Linked DNA regions of Canis lupus familiaris. The protein of the gene in region 5 interacts with the protein of the main gene of each other region in a pairwise test. Links are inferred from orthologs where the notes say so. Each region holds a gene or a part of one and is shown on either strand. Other genes may lie near its edges. The genes, in order: SRGAP3, EXOC7, GRIPAP1, SYBU, DISC1, CLU and PGK1.

Region 1 (4,818 bases), on a different chromosome or scaffold from region 5:
AGCTCTCTCTTCTTTAAGTTGCTTACCCAGCAATATTTTCTTCCCCATAACGCTTATCTTCTTCTACCATATTGTATCATTTACTCATTTTGTTTATTTTTCATCTTCCTCTTCTAGGGCCTCTTGCTTTGCCTAACTCCAGGAGGTACCATTCACTGTGCATTCTGAGTTCTGCCTTTACTGAGAATATGAACATGATTGGTGGGGATTTCTCAGAGTTGTGTAATGTGGAGACCTCGGAGCTCCAGGAGGACAGGGATTTTTTATTTTTAAATGTGTGTGCTTATTTTGATCATTGCTGTATCCTTGTATCCACAACAATGCCTGACCTATAGTAAGCTTTCCATAAATATTTGTTGAAAGAATGAATTAAAAAGCCCTTAAAGAGAGCCTGTTTTACTGGTGAGGAAACTGAGACTCAGTGAGTTACTGATTTGCCTAAACCTCCAAGAGACACTGAGGCAGCTGGGTGTTTCCAGCATGCCTGCTTTCAACAGCTTTGCAAAGCTGCATGTCTGAAATGCCTGGCATTGTCCCTGCCAGCCCGCAATTGCTCAACAAATATTAATGAGCTTGCCTACATGGGTCAGCCTCTCTCCTCTGTTAGACAATCCCTATAGAGTAACAAACTGTCACATAGCCATTACTTTGAGAAATTAAATTAAATTGCAAGGTACAAAGAAAAGGTGAACCTTTTGGAGTTATTGGAAGAAAAATTCCTAACCCGACTGTTAATGGAGTTTGCAGGGGCCTCCCAGGCCTTTCCCACCCGATTCTTTTTCCTGCTGCTTCCCCTTTTGTGAGCATTTCTTCCCCTTTTTGCTTGCAGTGAGTTCTCTTCTCCTGTAGGCTACAATGTGTCAGTTGTTATAAAATCCGGGAGGTGGAGCTTGGTGACGAGGTGGGTGGGGGAGCGCTCAGCCAGCCCTGCAGGGCGAGCAGTCCAGCCCTGGTTCACCCGAAGCTTAAACCTTGCAGCAGGAGAACTTCCATCTCGCTCTCCTGGCTTTGATCCTCACTGTACATCAGACCCGAGGCGCCGAAGGGAGGGAGGATGCGAGATGACTGGCCCTTTGGCAACCTGACCATCTCCTTAGCAGAGCTTTTGAAAGCCAGCCGGGGACTGACTGCGCGACCGCGACCAAGGAGGCGCCGCGCCTCTCGTGGATGTGTGTGTGTGTGTGTGTGGGTGGGTGGGTGAGCGGGTGTGAGTGAGTGAATGTGTGTGTATGTGTGCGTGTAGATCACGACTGTGTGTGTGTGTCCGGATGAGTGTAAGAGTGCACGCGTGAGTGTGTTTGTGTGCATGTGTGTGTGATTGCTCTTGGTTATTATTTCTGCGGAAGAAACATCTTGAAAATCTGGGACAGGTTACTGTGTTCCTAGGGTGGGAGTTCTTCTTTTGCAAGAGGAGCTGACCAGACCAAGCTCCTAGAGACATTTTTGTTTTTTTCCCCCCCGGAGAGTAAAGAGAATTTTCCTCCCGGAACGAGAGGGATTTCCCCCCCCTGGTTCTGCAGCCTTGTAAAAGAGATTAGCCCCTAAACCTGTGAAATCGACTAGAGCCTGTGATTACCAGGGCTTGAGAGAGGACTCGGGAAGAAAAAGAGAAATAAATCAAAAGCCTGTCAGTGCCTTTGGCCACGTTGGAAGATGTCATCTCAAACTAAGTTCAAGAAAGACAAAGAGATCATTGCCGAATATGAAGCCCAAATAAAAGGTGAGAAGAGGGCTGGGGAGTCATGCTTCCCCTCCCCTTTCCTTTTTCTCTTGCTTTGGCTTTCTTTTACCCTTTTCCTCCCTGCCATCACGAAATGTTGTTATGCATCAATAATCTTATTGTGAGTAGAAACAGTGGCAGCCGCACAAGTCCAGACTGGTTTCAACTGCAGAGAGCGCTGGCGCTGGCTGTATGGATTATAGAACGGGCAGCAATCACTGCATTGCAGGTGTGTGAGGAGGATCCTACGCCCGGCTTTAGGAGTGTCGCGGATACTCCATCATCTTGGCGGTGACATGTCACTCTAAGGCCATTTTGACAGTCACTGCCTCCTCCCCCCTTCCATGCTGAAAGCCCCCGAATATGGTTTTTTACGATCTGCATTTATTTTTCTTTCTTCTTCTTGGTTTTTGTCATTGCTTTCCCTTGCCTCTTTCTCTGGGCTGGAAGCCACATACATGTGCACAGGGAAGCAGCATCCCTGGGCTGCAATTCTTTGTCAGTGTTTCTCTGCTGGCCTGGGTTGCCATGGATTAACTGTTATAGGGCATATCGATCCGAAGTAATGCAGGCATTTAGGCATAAAGAGGGAGCTCGGTGAAGAAAATGTATTCTCTCACAGTGTGCAGCCCCAATCACCGGCCATCCGCTGGTGAGCGTGTGGGGTCATCAGCCCTCATTCAAAGCCAACAGCTTAGTGTGCCCTTTCGGCTGGTAGGAGGCTGGTAGGAGCTGCCTGGCTGCCGTAGTGCCTGCGGAAGCCTGCCAGCAGGGTGAGATGACCTCTGGCTGCGCGTTCCAGCTCTGCTGCCATGGGGTGCACGCTCCTCTTAGAAGCTGCTCCCCTAACCCTCACTAGCAAGGCAAGATAAGAAACCAGACACAATCAGATAAATGCAGGCGGAGTCCTCATTCACGCCAGACTGGGGTTCTCCCACCTTCATGAGTTTTAGGCTCAGCTTTGGCAAGGAAAACCTAAAAGCACCATGCTCCCCGCTTTCCCTGAGGATGTACCCCGAGGGAAGCCTGGGCCTGCGCCTCTCAGTGTCTGGTCTCTTTCTGGTTGCGGATCTCCTTGCTGCGACACAGGGTGTGTTGTGGTCTTCCATGCAAAGGCTGAAGACGGAAGATGTCTTCAGGGCATATTGATGCCTGCCCTTGAGGCTCTGGGTGGACTGTTTGAGCAAGTTGGTCATTTGGGGCCCCTGGGGGACCTGAGACCGCCACACCTGCTTTTAGGTGCTGCTGCAGCTCCGGACTCGGTGACCCAGGAAGTCGGGTCGCCTCCCCAGGAGCAGCGGGAGGCCGGCATCCACAGCTGCTGCACACGCTTCAGATGCTTGGGAACCTTTGGGAGGGGAGCAGCCATCAGGGGAGGGCTTTGTTTTTTTTCCAGTCTCGCCAAACGTCTTTTGCCTTTTAGTTCTGGTCAGACCCGGCATGCTAATCACCTCTGGGTAAACCCTAGGGCAAAATAAGCAGAAAACCCTTCTCCAGTGTTCAGTTCAGTATGGAAAACAGTGACTTAGACGATGTTTCAGCCTTGCTGAGAATTTAGGAGCAAGCCCTTTAGTGGTTAGAGATTTGAATTCACCCGACTGCTCCAATACAAAAGCCCAGGTTCAGTCTTTTGCATACACACTTTTTAGCGAGTTTGTATTTTGTAAGATGAATGTTAGCTGATTATTATTGTTCTTTTTAACTGAGGTTCCCCCAAAAATGCCACAACAGAGAAGGGGATGTTCAGTTTTGGACATTTTGGGGGTTTTCATTAGCATTGTCATGGTAGAAAATAACATTTGTATTTTGGATTTTTGGATTTTTGGATTACGACTACCACTGGGCCTGTGTGAACTTTGCTTGGGGATCAATTAAGCATTTATTCCTCTGGCTGGTTCTTTTTTTTTTTAAATACTTTTTTGCCTTTCACTTTTATTTTAACAACTACTCAGCAAGTCCAAGGTAACACATGTCAGCAGGAAATTTGTCCAGATGATCTTGTCTCTTCCAGACGCTAAAGGTCTCTACATTCTGGTTAAAGCTGTTGAATTTTATTCCTTTAGAACTGATACCCACAAGCCTTAGGTCAGGATTGTTGCTGTGCCCAAAACCGTCTGGAATCTTTTCTTTCAAAATTCTGTTTATTATCCTCCTAATTACTGATGTACATACAGGGCTCTACACTTTCTTTGGCTCACTCCCAAACGGCACTACTCTCAGCCTGCACAATGTATGGAAAGGGTTCGTGTGAGCTCTGATATAGACATGAGCAAACGGAGGCCTGATGGGTTGGAATGACTTGCCCAAGGTCACAAGGCTGGAAATGTGAAGGCAGCAGATCTTGTTTCCCAAGACATCGTCTGCCTGAAGCTGCCCCTTGAAGGATTGATGTCAGTAGCAGATGGCGGTTTTGTGGTGGGGACTGGCTGCCTCTTGATGGGGCTCCATTGTTTACTCTCTTACTTTTATTCCTTGCCTTTGTTGCTTTGCCTCTGAAGAGCGTTTGACCAATCACCAAAAATAACGCCTGATGCCAGTTTCCTTTCTCCCTGGAAAACATTTCGCCAGTTTGGTGCAAACACTTCACTTACTTAGATTTTGTCCTCTGTGAGTTGAGGGAGGCGAAGTTTTTGGTTTTTAAAAATGGTACTGAGTTCTTTGTTGACTTATTATTCTCTTTTATCTCTTTTTCAAGAATTTTTTGACCTAAGGAGAAGGTTTTAAAACTGTTTTTTTTTTTCCTATTGTAAAAAATTTCAGATCCATGCCTTCTCTTGCCTCATCCAATACTTGAATCCCTTGGATTATGTATTTGCAACATAGTAGTATATCACGTGCTTGTACATTTCCAGTGATGGGGAACGCATCACTCCCCACGCCTACATAGTCTACCTATGGATAGCTCTGGCTGTTGTAAGTGGTTTGTATGTCCACCTATTTATTCTGTAGTATCCTCCCCTTGGGATTTCATAGCACAAGACAGATACTTCTTCCCCATGACTGCCCATTGGATGTTTGGAGATTCTGATCATAGCCCCTGGACTATGATTATCCTCATTTGCTCATGCAAGATGCTTATCTGCTGCTTAATCATCTTT
Region 2 (3,935 bases), on a different chromosome or scaffold from region 5:
CACCTGTCCGAGGCCCTGAACGACAAGCACGGGCCGCTGGCTGGTGAGTACCGCAGCCCAGCCCGAGGGCAGCCGCCGCTGCCTTGGCAACAGTCCCCGGAGGGCTCCGCTCTGAGGATGAGCCAGGCCTGTTTGCCTCTCTCTCTCTCAAGTCTCTCTTTTGGGCACTAGGTCTCCTTGTCTCTCTCCAGATGGGAGTGTATGCCTGGCTCTCAGGGCCTGGGCCAAGGGGAGAAGTCGCCGCTACTTGGACGGCGGCTCCCTGGCGGGCAGGGAGCCCTGACATCTGACTCCACCAACAGCTCTAAAGCTCTGACTCGGAGCCCGTTTCTTTGCTTATGGGACCAGGTTGCCTGCGGGTGCCCCCTGCCCCAGCCTCCACTAGTGGGTCCCAGTCTCCTTTTGAGCCAGCTGACCAGCCAGGAGCCCTCCTTTTCTGGGACTCACATTGCCTCTTCTCAGAGTGTAACCCTGTGCCAGCTAGCCTCATAGGCCATAGTCCACCACTGCCTTCTTAGACATTCCAGAATGTCTGGTGGGGCTGAGAACTGCCCTCAGTGACCTAGCATTTTCTCAGATGGGTGACCACAGTGCCCTTGAGACAGGCACTGCCTCTCGCCCACCCTGGCCACCCTCTTTCTGGTGCAGTTCAGAATCCTAAGTCCTGGGGTCAGGCATACCGTGGCTAGGAAGCCGATTTAGGGCTCTTCCCTCTTTATCCCCTCATCGATCTCCCTACCACCTTTAGTACCTGATGCTCTGGGACGTAAACACTGTCCAGCAGAGCTGAAAATGAAGCCAGGACAAAGGCTGGATTCAGCCCCGTTTTTCCTTTTGAGCAGTCAGGCCTGCTGGAATCCTCTCAGCTTTCTGCCAGAATAGTCCTCCTCCTCCCCATCTCCTGCTGGCCCGAGCTACAGGCCAGGAGCTGGGGAGACCCAGCAGGGAGAGCGGCTTCCCGCAGGCCAGCAGCTCAGGGGCACTGCTGTCCCTCCAGGGAGAGACGACACGCTAGATGTGGAGACCGACGCCTACATTCACTGTGTCAGTGCCTTCGTCAAGTTGGCCCAGAGCGAGTACCAGCTGCTGATGGACGTCATCCCTGAGCACCATCAGAAAAAGACCTTTGATTCTCTGATCCAGGTGCTGCCCCGCCCCCACCCTGCTCCTGGGTCCTGACCAGATGCCCCAGCAGAAGCTGCCACCACAGAAGCTCACGTTTGGGACAGACCTGTTGTCCTGTAGCCTTCAACTAGAGCCACACAACTAGTGTGTGTGTGTGTAGGGGGGCGGGGGTTCCTCCCCATTGCTGCCCCCTGCTGAGGCAGGGGCCCCTGGGAAGCCGCTCACACCCCTCTGCCCCCCTGTGAGCCGCATCCTTGCCATGCTCTCCCAGGATGCACTGGACGGGCTGATGCTCGAAGGGGAGAACATCGTGTCTGCTGCCCGCAAGGCCATCATCCGACACGACTTCTCTGCCGTGCTCACTGTCTTCCCCATCCTGCGGCACCTCAAGCAGACGAAGCCCGAGTTTGACCAGGTGCTCCAGGTATGTGGGTAGGAAGACCCGGGGACACAGGGAGGAGGAATCGTGCTGCCTGGCATGGCCTCCCAAGGGGTGCAGCTTCTCTGCCCTCATGCCTCCAGTCAGAAGGTGAGCGGAAGCAGCTTCTACACGGGGCCGCAGATGTAGGCACACACTCACAGGGTGACCGAACAGGAGTGGGAGCCCTGCAGTGAGGGGCAGGGAGGCAGCTGGCGGGGAGCCAGGCTCAGCTCTGCAGCCGTGTGCGTCCTTAGGGTACAGCTGCCAGCACCAAGAACAAGCTGCCCGGCCTCATCACCTCCATGGAGACAGTTGGAGCCAAGGCATTGGAGGACTTTGCCGACAACATCAAGGTGCTCTCCCTCTCCATCTGCGGCCCTAGAACTGTGGGCAGGACCCCCAGGGGCCTGCCTCGGGGGCTCCTACGGAAACCAAGCCACCCAGCTAGCCCATTGACTAGCTGGCTGTGCTGCTAGTCAATACCCAGGGGGCTCCAGAGCCTCTGAGGGGTGAGGCTGCTGCCCTATTTTTCCTGTCCCATCTCTCACCTGTGTGCCTGAGGGGCACCCCAACACCTCTCTGCCAGGAGGTGGCATCGGGTGCAGACAGCCTGGGCCCCGGGGTGGAGCGCAAGGCCTTGGAAGCAGGTTCAGGAAGTTGGGACTGTTTTTTCCACAGAATGATCCAGACAAGGAATACAACATGCCCAAGGATGGCACCGTGCATGAGCTCACAAGCAATGTAGGTGCTGCCCCGGGTTGCCTGGGGAGGGGAGGGACCCAGCCTGGCCCAGAGCTTGTGGCAGGATAGATGGCAAAGTATTTCGTGTCTCCAGTAGACTGGATCATTCAGGGCAGGAAGCTTGCAACCACTCTTCCCTTGGCAGACCCCAGGCCCTGCACTTGCCCTGGAACGGTCAGAAGGGGTGTGTTTGGGAGGTGATCTGACTCTAAGGTCCTGCCCTTGACCTTCTCCCTGGACCTGTTTTCTCCCCACACAGGCCATCCTTTTCCTACAGCAACTCCTGGATTTCCAAGAGACAGCCGGGGCGATGCTGGCCTCCCAAGGTACTTGGCACCTCCCAGTGGGGCCCCCTCCCCATACCCCACTCCTCCCTCTTGTCTGGAGACACAGGGTTACTGGCCACCTCTGGGAGAGATTTCCTCCGGCTCTGTGAAGTGGGGTTTGACTGTGCCTTTCCTGACCCGACCTCCCTCCCTTCTCGCTCCTTCCACCGTCCTCGCTCTGGAGAGTGGCACTCCCTGGTTCGAAGATGCCCTGCCTGCCTCGCCCCTCCTTCCGCATTTCTCCATCTGCTCTTGGGTTCGCCTGTCCTCCCGATTAGTCTCACACAGCTGACCGTTCCGTGGGCTGGCGCCTCAGGGCCAGCCGGGTGTCTTCCCACTGACTGCTGCCCTGGCATTGGAGCTGGGGAGGTTGGCATGGAAGGAGGTTGGCATTTCTGAGCACCAAGACCCAACCCAATTTGTTGGGGCCCCCGGGCCCTCCCCCTCCCTCCATTTTGGGGGCGAGGGAGCCAGGAGCGGCCTCTGGCCTGCAGTTCTCTAGATCCCCACTTCGCTGCGTGCTCCCTCACCTTCCGGGGAGCAGCCTGGGTGTGTCCTGCTGTCTGTGTTCTGGCTGTCACGGGGAGGGGTCTGCTTGCTCGGGGACACGGTTGCTAACCTGTGTTTGCACTTTGCGTCTTTCTCCCTTCTTTGTCTCCCCTTCCCCTCTGAGTGCACTGCCTTTCACTCCGTAGTTCTTGGGGACACATACAATATTCCTTTAGACCCCCGAGGTAAGCGGCAGGGCTCTACAGCCCCATCCTACCCCTCTGAAACCCCATGGGTGAGATTCCTTAGGGACAGAGGCACCCAGACAGACTCAGGACCTATTGGGAGCGGGGATCAGAGGGGATGTGGGTTTCTCTAGGGCACTCCCAACTCTCTCAGCTCCCAGCAAGGCTGGCTGCACCCTCCAGGCTAGCCTAGTGCCTGCCCCCTCCCTCCCCATATACCCTCACCACCACCTCCTTGGCCTTCTGTTTGTCTAGAGGGGCCCAGTAGAGGAGGTTGTGGGAAGTGGGGGAGAAAGGGGAAAGGCCATAGGGAGCCCACTCTGAGACCCTGCTGTTCACAAATATGATAAGTGGACCTTATAGAGAGCACCTTGCATTAGTTGGGGCTGGGGGGAAAGGGGTGTCCCACTCCTGTGCCCCCAGACTTCCTGCTGATCATGGGCCAGCTCATTAATCCTGCCACCTATCACCATAGAGGGGCTTGCCCTGGGCTCCAGGAAGAGGCTGCCCAGGGGGTGCTCCTGCAGCAGGTGGGAGCTTGGCAGCTCAGCAGACCAACCCCTTCCCCGTTCTGCGTCCAGTCTGCCT
Region 3 (3,921 bases), on a different chromosome or scaffold from region 5:
AAGAGGAGCTACAGGGCCTGCGGGATCAGCTCCAGCAAGCCCAGGAGGAGCGGGACTGCCATCTGAAGACCATCAGCAACCTGAAACAGGTCACTTGCCCCTCCAGGGGCCCAGACACACCCTGGGCCGTGGTGTAGTCACAGGGCAGAGGTAGGGAAGGCCCAGCATGCAGCCATCCTGGCAGCCTCTAGCTGTGCATTTCGTTGGCCCACAGGAGGTGAAGGACACAGTGGACGGGCAGCGGATCCTGGAAAAGAAGGGCAGTGCTGCGGTATGATGGGGAGATGGTCAAGCATGCCCCTGCCTCCAGCCTGTGGGACCACTGGGCCTCAGCCTGCCTCTGTCGCCCCTATTCCCCACAGCTCAAGGACCTCAAGCGGCAGCTACATCTGGAGCGGAAAAGGGCCGATAAGCTGCAGGAGCGGCTACAGGACATCCTTACCAACAGCAAGAGCCGCTCTGGTGAGGGGCCTGGACTCAGAGGGCAGGACAAGCGAGGGGTGGGATCGATGGGCAGGGGCGGGGGCGAGGGGCGGGCTTGGGCCCTAGGGCCAGAGCTGCTTCCTGCACCTGCTATGCTGGGCTCCCCTGCACTTTCTGCCCCTCTTGAACTTGGTCTGTCTGTCTCTCTTTCTCCTGCTCTCTGCCTTGCCTTCTTCCGTGTCTCTCCTCTGTTTTGATCTCTCTGTGCTGTGTCATGCCATCTCTCTCTCTCTCTGTCTTTCCCTACTTTCTCTCTCCTTTTCTTCTGCTGCTATTTTCTTCTTTGTCCCTTTAACACATTCTCTCTCCCGTTCATCCCCCCATTTTTGTCTGCATCTTGGCTGGATCTTCACAACCCTCTCATGCACATCCCCACACCTCACCAGGTATCTCTAAATCCCCTGTATCCATTCTCTCATTCTGTAAATGTGGACTGAGCCCATGTGCTCACATCTGGGGTCCTTGATAGTAAACCCCCTGAAATACTGTCCTCCAGGAGCTCCTAGTTGAGCTAGGGAGACAGACTTACATTCAGATAGCAACACTGTGGCGTTATCACATTCAGCTAAAATCCATGTTCTTTCTGCCACTCTAGGCAGAAGATAAAACAAAAAACCTTGGGTTGCTTTGGACTTTTTTAAAGAAGGAAATGGCCTATAAATATGTTTAAATAAATAGATATAATGTAGTGGTGAGGGCTCTGGTGCATCTCCCATGTCTCAAGCTCAGAGAAAACTTGCTCCCTTGTCCTCCCCCTGCAGCCATAAGCTCTTGCTGGAGATCCTTGGAGAAGGGATGTCAGCCCTTCTCCCGGATACCGGGAAGCAGCTGCAAGAGTGGAAACCCAAGCTCAGTGGGCCTGTTTTAAGTGACATGGCAAAAACGGATGCATCTCTCACTCCATCTCTGTGTCTCTGAGGCATTCTCTCTCCTGAAGTCACCTCCCTTTATAAAGGAGTTTTGTTTCTGTTTTCTACACATTAGTGTACAAATCAACAAGCAGATTCCAGTGGTCCTTGTCCATAAAGAAATGCCGATTTAGGGTCACGTTTACATGTCTGTCTCCATCTTTTCTCCCCCCTTGTCTCTGCTCGGACTTGTGTCCTCTCATCTGCTGTGGCTTGCTGTCTGTCTTGGTTTCTCTTCTGCGTGTGGTCTTGCCCCCAGGCTCTCTCCAGCCTTGGGTCCTCTTTGTATGGACCCCGAGTCTGAGTGCATACATCCCTTGATGCCCATATGTGTCCACACTGCCCACTCCTTCCCAGCCTCTTCACCTTTGTTTCTCTTCTGGCAGATGCGTTTGCCCAGAGAGGCAACTTTTCTTTTTTCTGTTTCTGCCTCTCCTGTCATACTGTCCATTTCCACCTTTCCCATGCCCCAGTGTTACTTTACCTCATTCCATCTCTGTCAAATCTATTTCTGCCTCTTCCTGCCAGTCGCTGCCCTGGGACCCTAGGGGATTGGGGCTCAGGTTTCTCTTCCTTCTCTACCCAAGGCCTTGAGGAGCTAGTTCTCTCAGAGATGAACTCACCCAGCCGGACCCAGACTGGGGACAGCAGTAGCGTCTCGTCCTTCAGCTACCGGGAGATTTTGCGGGAGAAGGAAAGCTCCACTGTTCCAGCCAGGGTAAGGGGCAAGGAAGAGCTGACAGCCCAGCTTCCCCTACCCAAACTCTGGGATCCTCCTTAGGCCCTCCCTTGTAGCCATCTGCCTCTCTGGGCCTAGCATACACATTTTCTTAGCAACTTTTCTCTAAGCTTGACAGCTCAGATTCAGATTGCCAAATTGAGGATAAGCAGATTATTCTCTCTGTCCCTCTGCTCTCTTATCTGTGATGTGAGCTAATTCCACCTTTCCCGCTGTCATAAAATATGTAGCTTATAGCAGGTGCATGATCATGTAGGAGGTCCTTTTATCCAACTCACAATTATCACTTGCTTACTTTCGTCTATTGTGTCAGCTTCCTGGCCAGCCACTTTTATTTGGAAATCCATAAGTAGTATGTGTACCGTGTAGAAAAATTTTAAAAACACACACATGCAAGTTTTTTTTAATCCAAAGAAACTACCTCTTCACCATCCAGAGATCACCACTATAAACCCTTGGTTCAATACCCTTCTAGATCTTGCTCTCTTTCTTTTTCAAAAAGATTTTATTTATTTGAAAGAGAGAAAGAGCAAGTAGGGGAAGAGAGAGAGGGGGAATCTCAAGCAGACTCTGTGCTGAGTATGGAACCTGACGAGGAGCTTGATCTCATGACCCCGAGATCATAATCTGAGCTGAAACCAAGAGTCAGATGCTTTAACTCACTGAGCCACCCAGGTGCACTTCTTTCTTAAACCTTAATGAAATTATAAGTAACCTGTTGATCAGCTGATCTTTATCCTCCCAATTTCTTAAATTTTTATCTCATCTAGTACTTAGACCTTAATCGTATTTCTTTGGTTGGCCCTAAAATGTCCTCTATTGGGCAGCCCCGGTGGCTCAGCAGTTTAGCGCCGCCTTTGGCCCAGGCTGTGATCCTGGAGACCCAGGATCAAGGCCGCTTCGGGCTCCCTGCATGGAGCCTGCTTCTCCCTCTGCCTGTATCTCTGCCTCTCTCTCTCTCTCTCTCTCTCTGTGTGTGTGTGTGTGTCTGTCATGAATAAATAAAATCTTTTTTAAAAATGTCCTCTAGGGATCCCTGGGTGGCGCAGCGGTTTGGCGCCTGCCTTTGGCCCAGGGCGCGATCCTGGAGACCCGGGATCGAATCCCACATCGGGCTCCCGGTGCATGGAGCCTGCTTCTCCCTCTGCCTGTGTCTCTGCCGCGCTCTCTCTCTCTCTGTGACTATCATAAATAAAAAAAAAAAAATGTCCTCTATTGCTAGTTTTATGAAAATCAGCATTCAGTTTCAGAGCACATGTCACATCCGGTTGCTTTATGTCCTTTAAGTCTCTTGAGTCTAGTGTGGTCACTTTGTTTTTCATGACACCAACCTGTAGAAGAAACCCACCAGGTGACCTGCAGAAAGTGTCCCACCTGTTGTGTTTTCCTGCTGGTTTCCTAGTGGTATTATTTAGCTTGTTCCTCTGTCCTACGGTTTTCCTGTCAACTGGAAATAAAACCTCTTATGCTACAGCCTCTCCCTTCATCCTCTCAATGAGGAAATAATGTGGTGGTTCCTTTTTTTTTTTACAGATTTTATTTATTCATGAGAGAGAGAGAGAGAGAGAGGTAGAGGCAGAGACAGAAGCAGGCTCCCTGTGTGGAGCCTGATGACGGGACTTGATCCCAGGACCCTGGGATCATGACCTGAGCCAAAGGCAGATGCTTAGCTGCTTAGCCACCCAGGTGCCCCAAAGTGGTGGTTCCTATGTCCCCCTTTAGGCAATGGGAGACCCAGAGTCTCCGTGGGTGCTGAGACTTGCCTACAGCCCCTGTTGCAGAGCCCACCTT
Region 4 (4,640 bases), on a different chromosome or scaffold from region 5:
GAGCAGAATGATGAAATCAGTTCATCATGAGGCTCTTTAGGAAAGCTCAGTGCCCTGGATGGGGCTACCTGGGGCTCTGGCAATTCTGAGGAAAGTATTTTCCCACTAATTTCTTCAAACCTACCTTCCTAGAAAAGCAGGTAGAGGGGCTGATGAATTTTTGCATTTGGACCTACAAATCAGAATGGTTTTCTTCCTAGTCCTAAGCTTCCTTCAGCCTTACCTAAAGTCAATACAAACTAGATCTATGGGGACTCCTGGGTGGCTCAGCGGTTGAGCGTCTGCCTTTGGCCCAGGGCGTGATCCTGGAGTCCCAGGATCGAGTCCCACGTCGGGCTCCCTGCATGGAGCCTGCTTCTCCCTCTGCCTGTGTCTCTGCCTCTCTATCTCTCATGAATAAGTAAATAAAATCTTAAAAAAAAATAGATCTATGTTACACTGGCTTATTAAAGCTATCTGGAGTGTTTTTTAAAAGAATTATTATTATTTTTAAGATTATTCATTTACTTATTCATGAGAGACATAGAGAGAGAGGCAGACACAGGCAGAGGGAGAGGGAGAAGCAGGCTCCATGCAGGGAGCCCGACGCGGGACTCGATCTCAGGTCTCCAGGAGCACGGATCACGCCCTGGGCCAAAGGCAGGCGCTAACCGCTGAGCCACCCAGGCGTCCCTGTTATTACTTTTAACCCAGTGGCTATTACTGCCTTTGAGTTAGAAAGCGAATCGCCGCGTTTATCCTCAGAACCAGGAAATCCAACAGAGACACCTTGTTTAGAAGAGGCGTCCAAGGTCACCGGCGAAGTGGGAAAGAGCTTGCGGCTTCAGGGTAGGTCTTCCTCCCAGGTTTGGGCAGCGTCTTGCTTAGCCGTCCCCAGGCGACAGGCTGTGGTCGCAGGAGGGCCCTTCCCCGGCAGAGGCTGTCCCCAAGGGCAGCTCAGGCCCACGCCGCGGTTGGCAGCGGTTTGCACCTGCACGCGGGGGCCGGGAGTGTTACCGGGCGGTGAAGCCCCGAGCGGACGCGGGCCGGGTCGCAGCTGCTCGGGCCGGCGGGCGCGGGACTGGGTCATGCAGGCGGCCCCTGCGGCCCCCGCGCTCGGCGGCTTCCCGCGCCCGGCGCGCACCCGGAGCCCCCGCAGTGCGCCGCCCCCGCCCCCGCCCCCGCCGGGAGCGCCTCCGGGACGCAGCTGCCGCGCCGTCCGCGCGTCTCCGGGGACCGGGACCGAGCCCGCAGGTCGAGGACCCCGGCAGCAGGCCCCCGGAGCCCCCCTGCGCGCGGCCGCCCCGGCGCCCCCGGCGCGGCGCCCCCCCTTCCCGCGCCCCGCCTCTCGCTCCGCGCCCTTCGCCCCGCAGCGTCCGCAACCTCTGCCGCGGCCGAACGGGCTGCCGAGGCCCCGGGGCCGCGGGCACCGCGAGCGCGGGCGGCCGAGCACCACGTGTCCCGCCCGGGCTGGCGCGGGCGGAGCGGGCCGGGCCCGGCTCCCCGCGCCTGAGCGCGCACCTGCGCCGCCGCCCGCTCGCGTGCGCGGCCGACCCCGGCCCAGCCGGGCCCCGGCCTCCCGGGCGCGCGTGGATGCCTCGTCCTGGACCGCGCGATGGGCCCCTCCTGGGAGAGAGAGGGTAAGACCGGGCGCTTGTGCGGATCCCCACGTCGGTGCCCGCGGGCACCGCAGGGCGGCCAGGCCTCCTGGGTCCGTGGCGAGCGGAGGATACCGCAGACCTGCGCGGGCGGGGTGGGGCGTCAGGGTGCTCGCGGGCGCACGGGAGGAGCTCGTGGGCAGTGGGCGCTCTCCGCACGGAGACGGGGTGACAGTGCCCCAGTCTGATGAGTCATGAGGTGGTTGGGCTAGGCTCCTTGCCGGGCAGGCAGGTTGACCAGGCCATAGGTTTTGGATCTCCCTTTACTAACTGTCCTCGGGAGCGGAACTTAGAAATGGTGCGTTTTGATGAGGAGGGTTTGGTGAAGAATTGGTGCTATCCAAAAAAAGAAAGCCTTTGTAGATCTTCCCAAAGACGTGGATGGCCCAAAGTCCCCAGACGACACTTTTCAAGTTTCTGCTTTCTTGGGGACTTTTCATACAAATTCTTCGAGGTGAAGAGGGTGGACCGAATTTCCACCAATATGATGTTGAAGAGCTCGGGTGATGAGCTCAAAACTCCTCAACAGGTTTGAATTTAAGATGAGTATATTGTAGAGAAAGAGATCGGCAAGCTTAATATGGCACATAGGAAGAGACTATTAAAGCTTTAAGGGGAAGGAGGCACTTGGGAAAAACTGCTTCCCTGTTGTCTTTATGCTGTTCTACAGTGTGGAGCAAGGAGTGCTCCCTAAGACAGCAGGAAACTCCACTGCTAGGCTCCTTGCAGGTCCTCTGACCCCAGACCCTGGGCTGCAGAAGCAAAGAGCAGCTCCTGTGTCAATCTCCCTTCCCAGAAAGGGCCAAATGTGAACCCCAAGGTCCAGAATCTTCAACTTAAAGTTTCTGCTGCAGCATTGCGAGCTCAGATACATAGCCAGGCACATTTTAGGAATGTTGGCTTCTTCTTCCCCAAAGGATGCCCTTGGGAGCAAAGGGAGTCAGGTAATCTCAGTGCCAGGTTTTCTCCACCTGTGCATTTGGGAGAACAGTAGCCCCTGTCCCCATGAAAGATGGATCCAAGTCAGATCATGTTTCTATTTGCTTCAAATTTTAGAGCGGCAATATATTATCATAAGGCAGCTTTTTGTCACTTAAGTTGTTTGACAATGACACTATTTTAATGCAGAATACATTTAAATACATTCAATCCTTGTTGATCTCCACATACTTAAATCATACTTTCTTAACTTGGTTTGCATTTAATAATCTTTCAAGTGATATCATAATTGAGAACAGTAATCATGTGAGTTTTCAAATGCTGGTGCCCTTAAAAAAGAAAAGAAAGAAAAGAAAAGAAAAGAGAAGAAAAGAGTCCAAACCTTCATTTTTATAGAGGAGCTACTGAGGCTGTAGAAGGGAAGTGAATTGTCCAAGCATATGAATTAGCCAGTGACAAATTTAGAACCAGCCACCTCCTGACACCCAGTTCTGTGGTTTTCTCATATTTTAGTAAAAATGTGTAAGAGATATGCATAAATAAGTAATTTTACAGACACTGATTGGCAGGTCTTAGAGATGTGTGTGATTATAAAGAGGTGTCATGAAGGAGAGCTTTGTGATGATGAAATAGTTGTGTATCTTGATTGCGATGATGGCTATATGAGTCTATATATGTGATGAAATATCATAGGTTTACATACACATTGCACTAATGTCAGCCTCCTAGATTTGATATTATACTATAGTTATGTAAAATACAGTCATTGAGGGGAAACTGGGTGAAGGATATAGGGACTTCTCTACTATCTTAGAAACTTCCTATGAATCTATAATTATCTCAAAATAAAAAGGCTTTTTTTAAAAGTACTTTTGTAAGTGCTTCAAAATCCAACACTGACTATTTTGCTAAATCTGAATTGTACACAAAATTCCTTGCTTTGCTGTATATGCTATTTTAAGTATGTAATACAAACTAATACCTGCATATTTGCTCATTTCATATTTTAAAAAACCATGTGTATTTCTAAGGTTTATCTGCTCATGCTAGAACATCAGGATATCCTGGAGATACTAAATGGCATCTTAGCAAGAGATAGTAATTTAAGGTAATTTATTTAAAATTTTGGAAAATAGGGAGAAAGTTTCACATTTAAATAGTTATGTACTAAAATAACAGGTGTTTTTCTTTCTTTTTTAAAAAAAAAACTATATGAGAAAAGAGGAGTAGGTGAGTATGGTAGGACCATAACAGTATTCCTAGAAATGCTTTCAAGGAGCTTTAACTCCTTCTGTTCTGCTGGTTCCAAAATGAACTTTTATAGCCATCAAACTTAAGTGGGAATATTTACTCATCAAGAAAGAAAAGACAGAATTGCCTGACTGGCTCAGTCGATGGAGCATGAGGTTCTTGATCTCCAGGTTGTGGGTTTGAGCCCCAATGTGAGTGTAGAGATTACTTAAAACTAAAATCTTAAAAAAAAAAAAAAAAGTATTTTCTGCATGAAAATACTGTGGTCTTAGATCTACAAATGGTCTTTTCTCAGCAGGATGCTTTCTGTGCTTCAGGAGATTAAATGGGTAGCTATCACCAAGCAGAAGTAATGAGAGGACATACAGTTCCTTTAGAAAGAAACTAATAGTCATAATAACTTTTTCTTTATGAGAATTCAGGATTACTAATTAATTAAAACATCTGAAAATTTTTTTGTGGATTTTTAGAGCTACTTCATCAATTCCAAAATGAGATATCTTTTATGGGGTGGCCAACATGCATGACAGAAGGCCTAGAACACAGTTCCAAAGGAGATGAAAAGCTAAAGCTTTGGTGTAGTCTTGTAGACTATGCTCCTTCCTTGCAGATTCTGGCAAAGGAAAGGAAAGTTCTTGTATACACACTTCTGATCAAAGAAATATCATTCATTCTCTGGCGTCCTTAGGTGGCTCAAGTGGTTGAGCATGGGTCATGAGATCAAGCCCTGCCTAAGGCTCAGAGAGGAGTCTGTTTGATGATTTCACCCTTTTTTCTAATTTATTTAAGTTTATGAAAAGCTAATCAAAGATA
Region 5 (4,024 bases):
CTCTGCAGCCACGACCGGCCCCTGGCATTTGGCTCTGTCTGAATGATCAAGCCAGCACTGTCCAATAAAATACAATGCAAACCATAGACATGATTTCAGATTATCCAGTAGCCACACTAAATAGATGCAAGAAGAAACAGGTGAAGTTAATTTTACAATATATTTAATGCAACCCAGTTCATCGAAAATATGATCATTCCAATATGTGATAAACACAAAAATTATAGAAATATTTTGCACTCTTTGTTTTCATTCGAAGTCTTTAAAATCTGGTGTGCGTTGGACAGTGTCAGCACGTAGATAGTATATGTGATTAGGGGCCATAGGACGGGACAGGGCAGGCCTAAAAATAGCAGTTTGGCTTTGGGTAAAAGCAAAATCCCCAACAGAATGTAATTAAAACAGAAACTTACTTTAGGGACCTAGTTCCTCTGACCCGCCAAAGATGAGAACAGCTGGCGGCCACTTTGTGAAATTTCTTTCTCTGGACAGTTTTGTAGCTCCAAGGATTTCAGTTTCTTCACATCTGTATTAACATGCATATTGTACTTTAAGGGCCTGCAGTGATGACCCCCATACCACCCCCAGGATGGAGCCGAAGCTGTGGGAGCCCACTGCTCAGGACACCCTGCGTGTGTCCATCACCAGACGAGACTGGCTTCTTCAGGAGAAGCGGCAGCTGCAGGTGAGCAGGGGAAGGATGCTCAGAGAAATGAGAGCTTTGGCCAGCCACCCGTGAAGTCCAAAAGAGAGAGATGGGTGGAGTTGGCTGGAGGGCTGGTAGGAATCTCATTCCACAAAGAGGGGTTGAAAGCTCAGCGGTGTTTGTGCCCATTTTCAATATTCCTCATTACTTTTTGAATATGCTTTCCTTGTCTGCCAGGCCAATTTGTCACCTCTGATCATTTTGATCTTTATGAGGTTCTTTTGAAAGGCAGGAAGAAATGTGTTCTGTGAAAATCCTTCATGGAAAATTGTATTGAGTTGAAGTGTGAGGAGCAGTTGTCAGGGGGCAGAGTTGTAAGTGTGGGCTGGGCAAGGCTAGCGTGTCTGGGAAAAACCAGTAGATATCACATGAAAGTTCCAGATTGGCCCAGAGTGGTGGCCAGGAACCACTCAGGGGCCAGAAGTCTAGATGCAGCACAGAGTTAAGGCAGGAGGCTATCAGGTGCTCTGGAAGTGGACTCCCCCTGCCTGAGGCAGGGACCCTTGAAGTTGGGTCCATACGACCTGGAACCTACGGTCTCGAGACAGGAATGGAGGGTAACAGGGAGCATCTATGGAAGACAACGTGACTTCCAGGAAGAGTATGGGTCTTGAACACCTGAGTGCAAATCTTGGTTTAGGTTCTAAACAATGGAGTGAGTTTAGACTGTTTTATGGGCTTGGATGAGTTCTTGGACTGCCCTCCCATCCCTACCCCCTGGTTCAGAGTATTCTTATTACCTGAGCTTGCCCATCCAAGTCCCCATAACAGCAAGGTGGCAAAAGCCATCACAACTTGAAAATATTCTCCAGTAAACTGAATACGTCTATATTCAGTGAGTATCGTCCTAAAAGTTTGTGTTGTGATGTATGGGGTTCAGGAGCGAAGGGTCAAGAAAGAAATCTTGAGATGTCTTTGGTGCAAAAAGGTGGTTTTATTAAAGCATGGAGACAGGACCCATGGGCAGAAAGAGCCTCATTGGGTTTGAGGAGTGACTGATTATATGCTTTTAAGTTGGAAGGGGTTTGGGGAGAGTGTAAGTCTAAGAAATTTGGAAGCAAGGTTTCTAGGACCTTGAGGAGTCATTTACTGCTAGTAAATTCTTAGTCATGAAACCTTTCAGATGTATATCAGTGGGCCATATGTTTGGAGGATGATTAATAACATATATCTTTGTTGGGGGGTAGAGGTAAAGGAAGTTTCTGAAGGGATTTTTATATGTTAAAGAAGACTTACAGAATCCTGGAAGTCAAGCTAATGTCAAGCTGGGGTTGCTTTTTGCCTCTAGCAAAGTATTCACGTTGAGGCAGTTGAGTTCCTGGAGGAAGGTCACCCTGCTTGTCTCAAGTACTTGTCAGTGGACTGCAAAGGAAATTTGATTATTTTTCTTATATGTCTTTTGCTTTTGTTCTCCACATCACTTTGGGTAGCTGAAAATGTGAAATCTGGCTTTTGGTTTTGAACAATATTTAATATTTACAATATTAACAATATTTGAAAAATATTTACAATATTTTTCAGTAGCCTGCATAATTCCTTATGATGTCAGAATGTACAGAAAATAGTTTTAGACTGGGATACTTAGTGTTTGAGGAGAATGTTCTCAGCAGAACTCTGGGGGAACGTGAATATTCATTTATTCAGCAGGTGTTTGAATGCCTCTTATATTCCAGATACTGTTTGAAATGCTTAGGATTTCTGTGAAGTTGATGTTCTAGTAGAGGTGGGCATGGGGAGATAGATAAGAAATGGCAAACATAATTAATTCTCAAGTTACGTCCTTACTATGTTGTAAGGTGGTAAGAGCTATAATGCATAAGCTAAGATCAACCCATTGTGCAGTGAGATGGAAGCCAAGGGAGCAGCCACATGAAGGCCTGAAGTGGGGATGTGCCTCACATGTTCAGAGGGCAGCCAGCAGGCCAGGGTATGGGAGAATAGTAGAGGACAAAGTCAGGGAGAAACGTCTTGGAGGACCTTGCACACCTTTATAAGCACTCGGGCTTCTGTCTGACTGCAGTGTGGCCATTGGAAGGTTTTAAGCAAAGCAGCAACATAATCTGACCACGTTTTAAAGAATCACTTTGACTTGTGTGTTAAGAATTGGGTGCTGGACCACTGTGGAAAAGCACGGTGGGTCTTCACAACGTTAAAAATAGAATCATCATGCAATCAAGCAATTCCACTTCTGGCTATATATTCAAAAGAATTGAAATAAGGACCTCAAAGTGATGTTCAAAACAACATTTTTCACAACAGCCAAAAGTGGAAGCAACCCAAGTGTCCATCTACAGATGAATGGATAAGCCACATGTACTCCATCCACACAATGGAGTGCTATACAAACTTAAGAAGGAAGGAAATTCTGACACATGGTGCAACTTGGAAGAACCTTAAGGACATTATACTGAGTGAAATAAGCCGGTCACAAAGAAGGCAAATACTATGCTTCCACTTATATGAAGTTCCTAGGGATTCATAGAGACAGAAAGTAGAATGGCAGTTGCCAGGGGTTGGGGGAAGGATGGGGTAAATGGGGATCTGGAGTTTTGGTTTATAAGATGAAGAGGTCTTGGACGGGTGGTGCCAATGGTTGCACAGCAATATGAATGTACTTAATGCCATGGGACTGGCATTAAAAATGGTTAAGATGGTGAATTTCATGTTACATGCATTTTCCACAGTTACAAGGAAAGAAAACAATAGGATACGGGCAGAGGTGGAGGATGGGAGGTTAGTTGGGAAACAATGCCAATGATATTGTAACGATGGACCAATGGGAGACATATTATCTTCTTGGAGCATCTCAGGGGTGGATCTTCAGTCCCAACCAACTAAGTCTCTACCCTCAGCTCAAACTGGAAATGGGGTCAGGAGGTAGAAGTTTTAGGTGATCTGTACTTGGATTTGAGCGACCACAGATAAGAGATGGGGAGACACCCAGGATCAGAGCTCTGCTCTTATTAGCCAGAAACCAACGCATGGGACATGGGAGTGTGGTGATTGAAAGAGTCTCATTTTAAATTCAGAGTGCTAAGGCAGTGAGATGCTTATCTGCTCTAGCATCGTGCACACAATGGGCATTCACTCAATAACCTACTGTTTGTTTTATCCTTTGACCTCAAGATTGGATGATACTCTATAGATTCTTTGGATTTTGGTCTGCTATATTAGTGGAATTGAATTTATTTAATATTTTTATGAACTTTAGACTGCATAACACTATCTGCAGCATCCCATTGCTCCTTCAATCTTTTAGACTTAGCAAACTGTGATTTTTTAAATCTTTCTCTACATACTACATTTTCATGTTTGGGG
Region 6 (4,024 bases), on a different chromosome or scaffold from region 5:
CTGATGGCTTAGGGGTCCCACCATGGCAGATCAACAAGCTCACCAGGAGCATAGAGAAGACACAGGTGACTGCTTTTGGTCCTGGGATGCCCACTGAAGGTTGTCAGATTGATCAGAGCTGGTTAACTACTCACTTTCTCTTTAAAAGCTATTGATTTTCATTCCCTAATTTTTTCAAAAATGTCCCGAGGATGGTACATGAGACCCTAGCAAGCCAGGGGAAAAAAGATCTTTGCATGTTACATTTCCTATAAAGGGTTACCATAAGTCGTCCTAGTAAATTTAATCATTTGTGTTAGAATTTTTAAAATGTTAGCTGGGGCAAAAGATAAAAGCCAGGTTAAAAAAGATAACATAGTGAATAACCTTAACTCTTCCACCAGGGAAAAATTTAAAAATGAGAAAAGTCATTGAGAACCGAGACGCAGTCTAGAGCAGTGGATCGCAACCAGGGGCTCTGCTGCCCCCTCCCCCCAACAGGGGGATATTTGGCAAGGTCTGAAAATAGTTTTGGTTGTCACAACTGGTGGGGAGGGGAGGCAACTGGTGCGTAGAGGGTAGAACCCAAGGGTGCTGCTAAACATTCCACAGCATACAGGACAGCCCCTCATGACAAAAAGTGATCCAGTCTGGGGGTCCCTGAGTGGCTTGTCAGCCTTCAGCTCAGGTCATGATCCCGGGGTCCTGGGATCAAGCCCCACATCGGGCTCCCTGCTCAGCGGGCAGTCTGTCTCTCTCTCTGACCCTCCCCTCGCTCATGCTCTCTCTCTCTCTCTCTCTCAAATAAATAAAATCTTAAAAAAGAAGAAGAAGGCAATCTGGTCCAAAATGTTAATAGTGCCGAGGCTGAGAAACCCTGGTCTAGAGCGTTCATGCGGTGCGTGCTCATTTGGCTGCTCGCATCTTAAATAAGAGACAGTAACTCTTGGTCAGCGTAGAAGAGAAGGCAGTGTAGGAAAGCTGTGATCCAGGACCATTAAGATCAGCGCTGGGAGTGCCAATTTGAGCCTGGGCATCTGTGCCTCTAATCTTCTGGCCCTACACATGATTTTCTTGTGGTGAGAAGCTGTGTGATCTGTGCTACTCTACGATATTTGATGGAGGAAAACCCAAGAGGTTTGGTTGAGGACTCATCTACACCTCATCCATCGGCCCCTCACAGCACTTGTATTTATTTGCAGTGGCTTTGAAAATTATAGGCGTGAGGCTAGGAATATTTAACTAGACTCTGAAGGCTTGCCCTGGCAAACCCAAGCGTATTGAGTAAGAGCGAAGCCACGAGATTGATCTGCTATGTCCAAGGGAAAATAATTAACTCTTTTGGAACAGAGACTATTGTGTGCCAGGAGCCATTGCAGAGGCTTTGACAGCTGCTACTCAAAGTAGGAAGAAATGAGCCAAGGAACAGATCTGATAAAGCTGAGGGGGGAACAGCTGAAGGGAAGTACAGGTGACCCTCGAACAACACAGTTTGAACTGTGTCCACTTAGACGCGGGTTCTTCACAGGGCAGTACTGTAAACATAGTTTTCTCTTCTTTATGATTTTCTTGATGATTTTTTTTCTCTAGTTTATTTTAAGAATACAGTATATAATACAAGTTACATATGAAATACATGTTTATGGATGGCTTGTTACCGCCTCGTTGTTCAATGGTCAACCCTATTTTCTTTGCTTTTGGGACCGACCAACCAAAGGGTATTTTGCTGGGACGCCAAGGTACCACTACCAGTGACCCCAGAACACATCCCCAACACCTAGCTCTCCAAGGCATCCTATAATCTAGGGAAGTTACCCAACCTTCCTGTGACTACGAGCTTTTTCACCTCTGTAAGATAGGCACTGGAACCGTATGCAACTCAGGGTCATTCTGAGGAAATGAGTAAATGTTTGCCAAGTGTTTAACAATAGTGCGAACAGTGCTCACAGTGTCATGGTGTTTGTTAACAGATTGCATATTATCTAAGATTCCATCATCTACAGGAAGAAATGAGGAGGCCTACCAGGTTCAGCTCTTGGGAAGAGAATAGCTAGGAAAATCAAAAAAAAGGTATCTCCCCAATTTCTGGGACACCCATACATCTTAACCCTTGTCTACAGATGGGGGCCCACATGGAGCAGAGCCAAGGACCTCCCCCAGTACCACAGCTAGAAGGCAGCGCAGCTGGAATTTCAAGTCCCATGTGTCTGATCCTCTAAGGAGAGCCCCAGTGATATACCAGGGACCCAAAGCTCCCCAACTCACCCACTGACAAGATCTCCTGGCACTTTTCACACTGGTCCTTCATTTTCAGGCACCCTGTGGAGTTGTGACGGATCTCCTTGCACACGGTGCGGTTATCTTCTGGAGACACACCAGGGAAGAGGGAGTCAGTTATGCTGAGGCACCACACAGAGCAACATAATGATGGGCCACCCCTCTGATCCCTTCCACACTACCGTCTGCCCCTTTGAAATGCTTCTGTGGGCAGAGCAGGTTGGAAATGAGCTGTCTACCTGCAGACTCAGGCCTCGCTGATCAGGGCTCCCTGCAGAGGGACGAGGAGGTGGTTCCAGGGGATCCCTCAGCTGGGTATGGCCTCACCTCCCACCATCTCCATCCGATGAGACCTTCCTACCTCCACACTGCCATAGCTATATGCACTTCTCTTTGGCATTAAAACCCTGTGTGCTCTGTATTCTATCTGGCTCATCTCTCTCCCCCTAGCCAATCAGCAAGCCCCTTGAAGGCAGGAATGGGATCCTCCTTAGAGCCTCCTTGTAACACAAGGCTCCCCCTCAATTATAGATACACAGTAGATGCTGTTCCATTCAATGTCCTCCTGTATCTTCCAAACAATTTCAAGCCAAACTTGGTGCCAGTCAAATTGTAGTATTTAGGAGACAGTGTCAGCAAACCATGTCTATTAATTCAACGAAGGAAATTACCTCTAAAAGTATTAACTTTTCATGTCTGTATTAGACCTGATTCATTCAAAAAATATTCATGCATGCCCATTCTCTGCCAGGCCCCAAGGTCATAGCCAAGAACAGCTTTCTAAACTGTAACATGGATTGATTATATAATTTGTCACCACTATATGCATGGCATCCCCATAAAGTCACCTGAGTTGCCAAGACAAAGGGTCTGGTTCTCTAGAAAGGAGTAATCAATGCCCTGCCTACCAGTTGCTGGAAGGGGCATGGTAAACTTGAAAGAACACAGATTCCCAGTCCGGCAGGGCTAATTCTGACTGGGTCCGCCTTTACCAGGTCAGACATGTTTCATCATCTCTCTGTCATATTTTTCTCCTTAAAGGGAGACAATACCACCTTCATGGGACTGCTGGCGTAAACTGAGATGAAACACGCCAAGCCCTTAGCATAGTTCTTAGAATCTAACAGGCTTCTCAATAACCTGCTAGTTCCCATCCCATCTTAGGAAAAACGAGACAGCTTTCTAACCTTCTGGGAATTCAATTGGGAAGTGGTAAGGAATTCTATGCAGGTTGACATCCATGGCCTGTTGAGCCTGGTGTATCATGTCAAAGAAGGGCTGAAACATGTCATGGAAGTTTAAGGGCTGGAATCTAGGGAAAGGTATTATGTTCCGGGCGATGCGAAATTTGGGATTGAAGAAAGGCCTCCTCTGGAATAAGCTGAAGGGTGAGTAGTGGTAAGTATCCTGGGGCTCCCGGGTGAAGAATCTGTCCTGGAAAAGCTCATCCATGATGCTGGATGCCCGGTTGAAGCTGTCCTGCATGACGTCCAGGGCGTGGGTCTGCTGCCGGTCGTTCTCCAGCAGGGAGTCGATACGATCGCCATTCATCCAGAAGTAGAAGGGAGAACTCTGGTTCAGGAACTCCTCGAGCTGTCACAGGCAGAATGGGGAAGTTAGGAGAAGCTCGCCTAGGTCCCAGCTGCCTCCTGCACTTCCTGCTCGTGGAAAAGGGCCAGTCCTGGCCCTTTGCGGCCCCTCAGTCTCCTCGGTCACATAGCACATGACCAAAGGTTCTGCTAGGACCGGCTCCCTGGCCCCCCAATGG
Region 7 (3,025 bases), on a different chromosome or scaffold from region 5:
TTTTCATTCCATTGATTTGTTGAAGAAGCAGGGCATGTGAGCTGTAGAATGTCTATCCCACATTTTTTTAAAGATTTATTTATTAGAGCATGAGTATGTTCACAGGCAAGAGGGTCAGAAAGAGAGGGAGAGAGATCTGAAGCAGACTGTGCTGAGTGTGGAGCCCAACACTGGACTTGATCTCATGACCCTGAGATCGTGACCTGAGCCAAAACCAAGACTACTTAACTGACTGCCACCCAGGCACCCTGAGTTGTGGGACAGTTTTGAGTGGGCTCAGGGATCCCATGATTAGCAGTCTTGCTCAGGTATAATTATCTGTCTTGACTGTGGTTTCTGTGTGGAGAGTAGGGGCAAAATAGATGTATTTGGGTCTCATGGTTTCTTTAGACAATAGTAGGTCTTCTAAGTCCTTTTTGTCTAGGATTGCACCTCTAAGAGATTTTCTTAGAAACAGATGGGCCTTTTGGTTGAAGAAACATGGGGCAAAGTTAGCCAGTATGTTTTTTTCTTCCAAGTTTTTATTTAAAATTATTTTCTTCTAAGTTTTTATTTAAATTCCAGTTAGCTAACATACAGTGTAATATTAGTTTCAGGTGTAGGATTTAATGATTCATCACTTACATGCAACACCCAGTTCTCATCATGTGTGCCCTCCTTCATACCCATCACTCAATCCATCCCCTTACCCACTTCCCTTCTAGCAACCCTCATTTGTTCTCTGTAGTTAAGAGTCTGTTTTATGGTTTGTCTCTCTTTTTTCCCCTATGTTCATTTGTTTTTCTTAAATTCCACATATACGTGAAATCATATTGTATTTATCTTTATCTGATTTATTTCATTTAGCATAGTACTTTCTAGCTCCATCCATATGATTGCAAATGGCAAGATTTCATACTTTTTATGGCTAAGTAATATTCCATTGTGTGTGTACACACATATACATACTCCACAACTTTATCCATTCATCAGTCAGTGGACATTGGGCTCTTTCCATAATTTGGCTATTGTTGATAATGTGGCTATAAATATTGGGGTGCATGTATCCCTTTGAATCAGTATTTTTGTGTACTTTGGGTAAATACCTAGTAGTACAATTGCTGGATCATAGGGTAGTTCTATTTTTAACTTTTTGAGGAACTTCCATACTATTTTCCTGTGTAGTTAGCCAATACTTTTGTAACTTGTGGGACATTTCTCTGTTCCTATGCCTTGATATAAAAACTCAGGCACTATGTAATATCACTTCCTTAGTCCATCATTTGTTCTTTTGGTGATGATTATTGATTGCTTTCCCTCCTAGAGCTAAAGTTGCAGACAAGATCCAGCTGATCAGTAATATGCTGGACAAAGTCAATGAGATGATTATTGGTGGTGGAATGGCTTTTACCTTCCTGAAGGTGCTCAACAACATGGAGGTAGGAAACCGATGCCAAGTGGATGTGAAATGGCTCTCCATGAGAAATATCAGGTTATGTAAATTTAAAAAGAAAGTCAGCTTCTGATGTGAGCCCTCAAAACTCCTATTCTTACTTATTTTGGAAAGTTGGTATCTTTTGTCTTGGAATTTTTTCTTTATACTGTGTTGTATCTTATTCCTGTCTCCTTTGTGAGGTAATCATGTTCTTAGTATAGAGGCTGATCTTTATCTTGGCTCCCTTGTATAGATTGGCACTTCTCTGTTTGATGAAGAGGGAGCCAAGATCGTCAAAGACCTGATGTCCAAAGCTGAGAAGAATGGTGTGAAAATTACCTTGCCAGTTGACTTTGTCACTGCTGAAAAGTTTGATGAGCATGCCAAGACTGGCCAAGCCACTGTGGCCTCTGGCATACCTGCTGGCTGGATGGTGAGTCACTTTGGGTGGGTTGGTAGTACAAGTGAACAAAAACATTTTTATTTCATTCATTCTTTCATTCTACCAACCAGCAAGGATTTTAAAAGAATCTCTACGGGAGATCTCGGTCAGAGAGGGCTCCAGATGTAGCATTGAGGCCTTCTTCAAGAGGGAATCTGAGGGGGAAAAGCATGATTGCCTCTGTCTTCATCAGTAATGTGGGGGCAAAACCATTTTTTGTTTCTTTTATTTAATGTTTGTTAAATACTTAACTATGTGCTGGGGTTGGTGCTATGTACTTTCATGATTTGGGCTGTTCTGGATTATGTTGTTACCTAGAAAGCTGTATAAGAACTCTAATGAAAACCTTAAGATAGCAGAAATATGCTGATTATAAACAGGGAAAAAATGTATGTGTATAATAAAGACTAAATATTTGGCTGCAATGTCATGTACATATTGTCGTTTTAATAGCTGTATAAAACTGTCATGTTGATATACTAGTTTGCTTATTTTCCTCTTATTAAGCATGTGGGCATTATTTTGTTCAGTGTTTCTCAAAGTGTGGTTCCAAGAAGAGCATCAGCAGCATTTTGGAACTTAAAAAACATAGGTTTCTGGGCCCTATCCCAGTCTTACTGAATTGGAAACTGGGTGTTGGACCCAGCAATTTTTTGCTATAACAAGCCCTTCTGGTGATTCTGACACATGCCAAAGTTTGAGAACCACTGAGTCTAGATAATTGTTTCTCAACCTTGGCACTGTTGATGTCTCAGATAGTTGTGGGGAGCCGTCCTCCACATTGCAGGATGTTGAGCAGCATCCCTGACTCTGTCTCCTATATGTCAGTAGAACTTGACCTCCCTCCTCAAATTGTGACAACCACCATATCCCCAGACATTGCTACGGGACCCCTGGGGAGGGGTAGAATTAACCCTAGGTTAAAACTACTGACTTAGTTCTTCACAGTCATAAATAGTGTGGTTAAAAATGTTTTAATCTGAGGTTTTCCCTTTCATTTTATCGTTCATAACGGACATGAGCAGGTTTATAATTTTAAGGACTGAGGGGTATTTTTTGGTTCTACAAGAAACTCTAGTGTTCAACCTTGAGTTCAGGTCTTGGTGGACGTGGTGATTACTCCTCTAAGAAGCTTTTCTTGGTAGCTCATCTTCTTTTTTAACTCTGCC

What was found.
Region 1: the proteins of DISC1 (region 5) and SRGAP3 interact in a two-hybrid assay, tested with the Homo sapiens proteins (2 studies listed by BioGRID and IntAct). The link is inferred for Canis lupus familiaris from reciprocal best matches to the Homo sapiens genes DISC1 and SRGAP3.
Region 2: the proteins of DISC1 (region 5) and EXOC7 interact in a two-hybrid assay, tested with the Homo sapiens proteins (2 studies listed by BioGRID and IntAct). The link is inferred for Canis lupus familiaris from reciprocal best matches to the Homo sapiens genes DISC1 and EXOC7.
Region 3: the proteins of DISC1 (region 5) and GRIPAP1 interact in binary tests that used the Homo sapiens proteins (3 or more experiments, as listed by UniProt). The link is inferred for Canis lupus familiaris from reciprocal best matches to the Homo sapiens genes DISC1 and GRIPAP1.
Region 4: the proteins of DISC1 (region 5) and SYBU interact in a two-hybrid assay, tested with the Homo sapiens proteins (2 studies listed by BioGRID and IntAct). The link is inferred for Canis lupus familiaris from reciprocal best matches to the Homo sapiens genes DISC1 and SYBU.
Region 6: the proteins of DISC1 (region 5) and CLU interact in binary tests that used the Homo sapiens proteins (3 or more experiments, as listed by UniProt). The link is inferred for Canis lupus familiaris from reciprocal best matches to the Homo sapiens genes DISC1 and CLU.
Region 7: the proteins of DISC1 (region 5) and PGK1 interact in a two-hybrid assay, tested with the Homo sapiens proteins (2 studies listed by BioGRID and IntAct). The link is inferred for Canis lupus familiaris from reciprocal best matches to the Homo sapiens genes DISC1 and PGK1.

The regions. Positions count from the first base shown.
Region 1 is NC_049241.1:8,962,678-8,967,495, forward strand, and holds the start of SRGAP3 (SLIT-ROBO Rho GTPase-activating protein 3), read left to right. Parts: upstream 1-1,653; coding exon 1,654-1,720; intron 1,721-4,818. UniProt on the Homo sapiens protein: GTPase-activating protein for RAC1 and perhaps Cdc42, but not for RhoA small GTPase. May attenuate RAC1 signaling in neurons.
Region 2 is NC_049230.1:5,427,880-5,431,814, forward strand, and holds part of EXOC7 (exocyst complex component 7), read left to right. Parts: coding exon 1-43; intron 44-997; coding exon 998-1,143; intron 1,144-1,396; coding exon 1,397-1,549; intron 1,550-1,800; coding exon 1,801-1,899; intron 1,900-2,224; coding exon 2,225-2,287; intron 2,288-2,546; coding exon 2,547-2,613; intron 2,614-3,308; coding exon 3,309-3,347; intron 3,348-3,935. UniProt on the Homo sapiens protein: Component of the exocyst complex involved in the docking of exocytic vesicles with fusion sites on the plasma membrane.
Region 3 is NC_049260.1:42,329,457-42,333,377, reverse strand, and holds part of GRIPAP1 (GRIP1-associated protein 1), read left to right. Parts: coding exon 1-89; intron 90-214; coding exon 215-271; intron 272-362; coding exon 363-462; intron 463-1,978; coding exon 1,979-2,109; intron 2,110-3,921. UniProt on the Homo sapiens protein: Regulates the endosomal recycling back to the neuronal plasma membrane, possibly by connecting early and late recycling endosomal domains and promoting segregation of recycling endosomes from early endosomal membranes.
Region 4 is NC_049234.1:10,445,843-10,450,482, reverse strand, and holds the start of SYBU (syntabulin), read left to right. Parts: upstream 1-1,575; 5' UTR 1,576-1,619; intron 1,620-4,640. UniProt on the Homo sapiens protein: Part of a kinesin motor-adapter complex that is critical for the anterograde axonal transport of active zone components and contributes to activity-dependent presynaptic assembly during neuronal development.
Region 5 is NC_049225.1:8,130,986-8,135,009, reverse strand, and holds part of DISC1 (disrupted in schizophrenia 1 protein), read left to right. Parts: intron 1-555; coding exon 556-685; intron 686-4,024. UniProt on the Homo sapiens protein: Involved in the regulation of multiple aspects of embryonic and adult neurogenesis. Required for neural progenitor proliferation in the ventrical/subventrical zone during embryonic brain development and in the adult dentate gyrus of the hippocampus.
Region 6 is NC_049246.1:30,160,631-30,164,654, reverse strand, and holds part of CLU (clusterin precursor), read right to left. Parts: intron 3,850-4,024; coding exon 3,444-3,849; intron 2,344-3,443; coding exon 2,245-2,343; intron 1-2,244.
Region 7 is NC_049260.1:60,534,568-60,537,592, forward strand, and holds part of PGK1 (phosphoglycerate kinase 1), read left to right. Parts: intron 1-1,303; coding exon 1,304-1,418; intron 1,419-1,667; coding exon 1,668-1,847; intron 1,848-3,025. UniProt on the Homo sapiens protein: Catalyzes one of the two ATP producing reactions in the glycolytic pathway via the reversible conversion of 1,3-diphosphoglycerate to 3-phosphoglycerate.